2 linked regions of the Coturnix japonica genome follow. Each later gene encodes a partner of the first gene's protein in a complex. Links are inferred from orthologs where the notes say so. Each region holds a gene or a part of one and is shown on either strand. Other genes may lie near its edges.

The links. The genes of interacting proteins can lie anywhere in the genome.
Region 2: CNOT2 (region 1) and CNOT6 share a complex: the UniProt entries of both Homo sapiens proteins name them as parts of the CCR4-NOT complex. The link is inferred for Coturnix japonica from reciprocal best matches to the Homo sapiens genes CNOT2 and CNOT6.

What each region holds. Positions count from the first base shown.
Region 1 is NC_029516.1:32,450,239-32,453,884, forward strand, and holds part of CNOT2 (CCR4-NOT transcription complex subunit 2), read left to right. Parts: intron 1-1,149; coding exon 1,150-1,297; intron 1,298-1,921; coding exon 1,922-2,104; intron 2,105-3,646. UniProt on the Homo sapiens protein: Component of the CCR4-NOT complex which is one of the major cellular mRNA deadenylases and is linked to various cellular processes including bulk mRNA degradation, miRNA-mediated repression, translational repression during translational initiation and general transcription regulation.
Region 2 is NC_029528.1:4,221,080-4,225,211, forward strand, and holds the start of CNOT6 (CCR4-NOT transcription complex subunit 6), read left to right. Parts: upstream 1-1,311; 5' UTR 1,312-1,497; intron 1,498-4,132. UniProt on the Homo sapiens protein: Poly(A) nuclease with 3'-5' RNase activity.

The sequences.
Region 1 (3,646 bases):
ATTCTTTGCGTTCTTAGTATTTCATCATGTCATACGCTGGCATATTCAGCTCTGCTGTAGGGGTGATTTATCATTGGAGAGTGCTGATTCGTCTTAATTTTTCTTCCTTTTGTCTGCAAGATAAGGTTTTAAATTCTCTGAGGCTTCCTCAGCAGCCTCACACCAAAGCGATAGGACTGTTATTTATAGCTATCGCGTTTTAGATGCAAGCATGTTTCTGTTGATCTGCTGCACTAAATGGCTTTCTCTTGTCTTTGGACATAATTTTAAAACTTCATGAATACAGAAAAGGAACGTGGAAACGATCAGAAGCTCTGTAAAGTATTCTGACGTTTTGAGACTGGTTGTTTTTTGTTCTTCTGAACTGAGATGGTTTCTTTTTATCGCGCGTTAATAAAGTACTTTCGTAATTTCACAGCACCCAAATGCTTGCATAGAAAATAATTTTTATGACAATGTAAAAAAAAACAAAACAAGCAAGCCCCCAAACCAGCCCTGTGTGCTTTTAATTCCTAGTTGAGGATGCTTAAATTCTACTTGCTTTCAGTCCTCAAAAAATTAAGTTTAACCTGACTTTGGACACTGTAATTGCCTTAACAAAAAGAAGCAACTCAGACTTTATAGAGAAGTGTCCTAAAATATTCATTCCGATGCTCTGAAAGCCATGTTATGAAATATTCCTAGTTTTATTTTTTCTTAGTTATAGGTTTGCGTATTTTTTGACAAGCTAGATGGACGTTCTAGATGCTGGCCAAATATGTATCCATTTATTCAATTGCAATAACCTCGTTCTTCAGTGGAGATGTTTATTTTCTCAGAACACCGACTTTTTAAATATGTGGATTTCCATGTAGATGTCCTCGTCAACAAAACCACAGCTCCCCCTCTTCTATTCAGAGTACATCTCAAAGGAAACAAAATCTTGTTAGTGACTTAAAGAGCCTTTCTCGAGTTTGACAAGAATGGGGCTATGTGTGAGGTAACTGGGCTTGTAGTACGCAAGCAAGGACTTCATATTACGCTGCACTTTCCTACAGTCTTTACACTTTTTGAGGTTGTCAGCATAAGTTGTTTCCATCCACACCTGATGGCTAAGACTTTGTTCCGGATCGCTATGTATCTCCACCCCTCTGAATTTTTTTTCAATAGGTGCACTAGGCCTTCCAATGAGGGGAATGAGCAACAATACCCCTCAGTTAAATCGCAGCTTATCACAAGGCACTCAGTTACCGAGCCACGTAACGCCAACAACAGGGGTACCAACAATGTCACTTCACACGCCTCCATCTCCGAGCAGGTATTTATTGATAGCCAATGTTTCTGCAATTGTGTCTTTCGGCAGAGCACTTACTAAATGTTCTGCGTATCGTGCCACAGCTACTTTTAGACTGATTAATTAAAAAAGAAAAACAGTAATTTTTTATTGACCACTGCCTGTGTTAGGTAAGTAATACCGTAAAACGGTAGGATAAGACTTAACTTAAGACAGTGTTTGATTTTGTATGTAAAGGATGTAAAGTTGTTGGCAAATTCTGCTTCAGAATGTAAGAGTCTGTTTTTCAGTTGTTCTGGTAAACAAATGGTAAATGTTTTTATATGGCTGTATTACAGTATGAAAATATTAAGGTAGTAGGTCTGAAGTGCTCTTTAAATAAGAGTTGTAACGCCTCTTCAAAAGCATAGTACTTAAGTATTTATCTGAACCTGACCGAGGACTTGATTGGTACGCAATGGGTCATCTGGTGTTTCTGAAGAAATCCAAAACTACGTTAATTATAGAGAGTACTCCAAACATACAGTGTTGAGTCTAAGCACAAATTAAGTTGCTACAACTCTTAAGTGTATCCTACATGAGTAATTTAAATGAGTAACCAAATACTATTGTACAGATTCATCTCTGTGGATGGTTTTTCTCTTTCAGGGGGATATTGCCTATGAATCCTAGGAATATGATGAACCACTCCCAGGTTGGTCAGGGCATTGGAATTCCCAGCAGGACAAACAGCATGAGCAGTTCAGGGTTAGGCAGCCCCAACAGAAGCTCTCCAAGCATAATATGTATGCCAAAGCAGCAACCCTCTCGACAACCTTTTACTGTGAACAGGTAAGGCTGTTTGGTCAGACCATGCCTGTGCAGCCATGGGCGTGCTTAAGATCTGCTTTCAAAGTCTATTTTTTTATCCATTAGAATAAAACTTGAAAGTGTTGCTTTGCGTCTTCCGGTCTCTCAACGCTAACTTTCCAAGCTGCTGTCAGTAGTTGTGCAGCCATTTTTGAAGCCTTTCAGCTAAATTCTGTTTCTGACTACTTAATTTCTACTATTCCTTCTTTAAAGTATGTGATGTTTCTAGTATGTTCCCAAGTTTATTTTTGAAACAGACTTTGTTTTTTGTATGTATACATCTTCTTGAAAACTCTCCATCTATGAGTTTGGGAAGAATTTAGTCAAGAGATAATCCAGAATAACTGTTTCAAATTGTGGTTCTGTAAGAATAGTTAACTGATTTGGACACAATGGAGACCTCATATTTTACTTTAAATTCTGGAATAATATGGAAAGCAGTGGTTTGCAACTCATCCAAGGTGCTTGTTTTGATGCCAGAATTTTCTCAGTTACTTCTGCTCTTTTTTTCTAACTCTGGGCAAGATTGTGGCATCAGAAATCATTGTGCTTTACCTGTCTTGTTGATATGTTTATGCTTAGTTTATATTGATAACCTTGTAATAAAATGTGTGTCAATTCCAATTACATAGTGTGTAATCAGCTTCATGCAGCTGACTGTTTTCCAGACTTCTTTCCGGAGCCTCATGATCCCTGTGTTCCCAGGTCATTCCTCTTTCTCGCTTCATGCCCTAGGCTAGGGGACTGAGCTCAAATACACTCCTGGCAATCAAATGCTACCTCTAACCCAGTGTAGTATTTTTACTAATCAAATGAAAAAAAATGGATGCCAGTTATCTGAAACTTGATCAGTCTTCTTAATTCTGTATCTTTGCATTATGATGTAGGCATAAGTAACCTCTTTCTTCATCACAGCAATAGAGGTTTGATAATAGTAATTTGTGTTCTTGGAGTATGAGAAGACTTTGGTCAGAGACCACTCTGAAAGTAATGCCTCCTATTTTATTTCCATGGAAACTACAACAGATATAGAGACTATAACAACTATAACAACAGAGAATTTGATGGAGCAAATTCTCAGCTACGAAACACCATTTTTCAACATAGTCACTGCTGTTAGCTATGCATATTTGCCCATGATGAGCAAGACCTTGCATGCCATGCTTGTCAAAATCTGCACCAGCTGAGGTGACCCACTCACTGCCTCAGTGTGCTCACACCCACTGTTTGGTCTCCGTAAACATTCAGTAAGTTCCAATGGAAGCCATTTATTCCAGATGGAGGAATTCACTTCCACACCTTTGCTTATCCGTGCTTCCATCTCAGGTGCCATTGTGTCAGACTGCCCCTCTGCTGCCTTCTGTCACACAGCAACAACATGTAACAGAATATTGGTGGGATGGTTCAGCCCCCACTGCCATACCACCAACATCTGCTTCTGATGTTGTGGGATAACACAGTAAAATAGGAGGCATTTCTTAAAGAGCGGCCGTTGTGTCTTGGCCTTTTCTTTCCTGTGTTGTG
Region 2 (4,132 bases), on another chromosome or scaffold:
TACAGTGGATTGAGGCCATATCTGACCTAGAAAGTATTAAGTGAAGAATGTGTGGGACAGCTGGTTATTGGAAAGAACGCACATACAGTGCAGGGAATGACATGTAGAGCTGCTTTGCTCAGTTCTGAATGGCTGTTGGCCCTGAACAGCCAGGCTGGCACTGAATGCAGAGTCCGCGCCGCATCCAGTGACCAAGCCAGCTCAGGTATCTGACACAACCACAGAGAGGTAGTTTGCTATCCGAGAACATCTCAGATATATGATAGGATAAGACTGAACAGAAATCTGAAGTACAGCATGATTATTTCCCAAACCAAGTGCCAGAGGGCTAACTAAGCCTTCCTGACGAGAATGGGGTCACTTTTCAGAGCCCTGCTCACATAGGTTACTGCTGGTGTTCCTCAGAAGCACAGCCTGCTTCAGTGCCTTTCACATTCTTAGTAGAGAATGCCTCATTGCACACCAAAGAGAGTGCCATTCATTTCCAGCTATGTATCCATTTATACCAAGGCAAGTGAGGCTTCAACTCTTATTTACCCTTCCCATTCCAGAAACAGAGTTGTGATCTGGGAATTCTTATAGCATAATAGAATCATAGAGTATCCTGAGTTGAAGGGACCCACGAGGACCACTGAGCTCTGGCAGCTCAGGGCCATGCCCACCGCCCTGGGCAGCCTGTTCTGTGTCCATCACAAGCTCTGGTGATGGACATCTATCTTGAACCTCCCTTGAGGTTTTCTCTTTACCGTTCCTTTTGATGTGGAGATGCAGACTGGTTCAAATAACCAAAAACATAAAAGAAAAGTGAAGTTCCAGCAGATGGAAGCCCGTGGCCATGGCACAGTGAAGGATCTGGGGCAAGGATCTGCTTTATTATGGATACACGCGTGGAAAAGACATCCCTTTTGCTAAACATGCGATCCATGCTTTGCCTGAGGTCATGTACTGCAGCTCTGCATCGCATTTATGTGGAATTTAAAGTTCTTTAAGAAGAAGACTTCCTTTAGGCTCCCTGGCCTCACACTGGGAACTGCTTTACCGCCATACACCGCTGTGGCAAGAAACACACGTCACTTTTATCCACTTTTCCGTGACCCCCCTTATCCTTCCCACCGGAGCTCCACAACACACGCCTCGGTTCGGGGGCCACGACAAACCCCTCCGGGCCCATCAGGCGACCCCCGAACCAGGCGACCCCCGAACCAGGCGACCCCCGAGCTCCGCTCAGCGCCCTCCTGCGGTCCGGCCTTGCGCAGCCGCGGAGCGGGGGCGGCCTCGGCGGGCGGGGCGGAGGGAGGAGGAGGAGGAGGAGGAGAAGGGCCGGCCCGCCCGCAGCAGCCGCCACCACCACCGCCGCCATGATGCTTGTTTGCTTTCAATGAGTGTGAGGAGGAGGCGGGGGGGAGCTGCTCTCCCGTCCGGCCCGCGGCAGGAAACAAAGAGCCAGGCAGGCGGCGGAGCGAGGGCGGCGGGGGGACGGGGATGCTGCAGCCACAGGTATCGGGGGCTCGGGGCGGGGCGGCCGAGGAGCCTCGCCTCGAGGGGGGGCTCGTGCTCAGGGGGACGGGGAGGGCGGGGAGCGGGGCTGCGGGGGTTAACGGGGGTGGGGGGTGCGGGGGGGGGAGGGGAGCCGTGTTATTATGGCGAGCGGCGTAGGGTGGGGGGGATCCTCCGCTATGGGGGGGCTGAGAGTTCGGTGAGAGGAGGGGGGGCTGTTTTGTTGTGTGTCGGGGCGAGCCGGGGGCGGCCGGGCCGGGCTCGGGGCTGCGGGCGGGGGCCGAGCTGGCAGCTGCTCGGCGAGAATCGGGCTGCGATCGTGTCGGAGGGCAATTAAGAGGAATTAGTGTAACGGCATCTGGAAGCTCCAAGTTCTTTATATATACGTATATATGTATTTATTTATTTATTTATTTTCCCCCAACTGTTTAAAAATAATTAAACAAAAGGCAGAGAGGGAAATGACATCAATCTGATAATGGTCCAAAGCGCAATTTTCCAGCCATTTCGCTTCCTTTCCTTCCTCAACCCTCCGCTCGCCGACGGACGGCGCTGCCGGGGCGAGGCCTGTGGTGGCAGCGGGCGGCCCGCGGCCCTGCGAGCGGCCGGGCAGGGGGGGAGAGACGGAGAGCCAATCCGAGCGCTCAGAGCGTGATTGGCAGCGCCGGCGGCCAATGGGGGCGGGGTAGGGCGGGGCTAGCGCTGACATGTTGGGCATGGGGGGGGCACACACCTGCGGGGGTAAACAGAGGGGAATTGGGACGGAGCTTCCTTGGGTGAGTGGGGGGATGTGGAGCTGTGTGAGCACGCACGTGTGTGAGCTCGCAGCTTGTGTGAGCCCATGGAGCGTGGAGAAGTGGGTCAGCGGGGCCTGTGTGCCCGCAGGGAGCTTGTGGCTCAGGGCTTTGTGGGGAGCTGTAAGCTGGGATCACAGGGGGCTTTAGGAAAGTCTGTGTCTGAGCATCTGTCTCCATCGTGGTGTGTGCACGGTGCAGCTCTACGACTTGTCCGTGAATATTAGAAATCCATATCAACCGTGCTCATCGTTTTGTAGTGTGAGAGTACAGCCATAACAGATACAGTCAAACTGGTTTGTTGTTTTCCTTCTCCCCCTCCTCCACCCTCCCCTTCTTTTCTTTTTAATGTCTAACTCTACAAGTGTGCAGGGACACAGCACTGGAGCAGGCAGCCCAGAGAGGCCATGTTCTTCTATGGCAGTATTCAAGACCCATCTGGATGCTTTCCTATGCAACCAACTGTAGGGAACCTATTAGGAGGGGATCTCCAGGGTCCCTTCCAACCCCAACATTAATAGTAACCCACGCTGTCATTCTGCAGGCAGCTATTTGCCTTGTAAGCAGGGTTGCAGATCTCCAGGATTTTCTCTTTGATTGTTTGTTTTTTTAATTGATAGTTTTCTAGGGTTTATTTTCTTAATCTAGCTCTCACCACAACGGGTAACAAATCAGAATTCAAGGGATTAAGGAATACCTGCAGTACGTGTCTGGCTTAAAGACAGAGATGTGCAAGTGTTGACTGGTAATTGTTTTGTATCTTGCATTTTTTTTTCATTTTAGAGCAGGTCTCGTAATTGGGAATTTATCAGCATTTCCACTGGGGTAATTTTACAGGATTATCCGCCCTCTGTTCTTCCTGCTGGTTCATCTGGACTCTGTGGAGTGTGCTGCTGGCCATGAAGCCTTCTGTGGGGGTTTATTCATGCTCTTACAGACATGGAGCCCTTCACATTTGGATTAACTCTTTACTCACTTTTCATCTGAATCGTGTGGATCAGTCTGTTTATAAAACGGACACTACCCTGCATCCCCTTTCTGTTTGCATTTTGGAGTTGAACTCTATGCAGACACAATGAGTTCAGGCTGTTTACTTTGCTTGAATTTTAGAGGAAGAACTGGAATTTAAAGGTAGATGAGACTGTGATACTGCAGGGGCAGGTAAATGCTTTTGAAATTTTACATAAGAAGTCTTGAAAACACGTTACAAAAGGCCACAGATTGTGTGAGCATGGTGCTCATCAAGGTAAAAACCACTAAGATCAGGCAATGCTGAATATTAGGAAGTCTTATTCTTCTAAGTAAGTGCAGCGTTCATGATGGAAAACACTCTTTAAAATGGGGTAGAATACTCCTAAGATAGAGCAAATAGAAAATGCTTTCCCAGCTCACCAACAAAAGCACCTATTCTTTAAAGCGTGGCAGTGTAAATAAAAGCAATCGTGTTAAACTACCACTAAACAGCTCAGTATTCTTGTTTGTAGTGCCGTGTGTTGTTATTTGGATTGCCACCGTGCCTGGGAGGCTGGGTGGTGAACCAGAATTCCCCATTCAAGTTGTGCAGCACCTGCTGCAACAGGCAGCCCTGCTGCAGAGGCTGCAGCCTCCTGCTTCTGTTTGCTAGCAGGCTGCAGAGGTCTAAAATTAGCCCCTTGTTTTGTCATGTTATTGTGTTTATGTTTGTATATGTAGAGCTTGTAACGTGCTGTCCCTGGCTCAAATGGGGCCACATGATGGGAAGGTTATATGCAGACTGAATGAAGGTTTATGAATGAAGGTTGTATGCAGGCTATAACCTTATGAATGAAATTGCCATTCAGTCTTTAGAATTGAAATATACA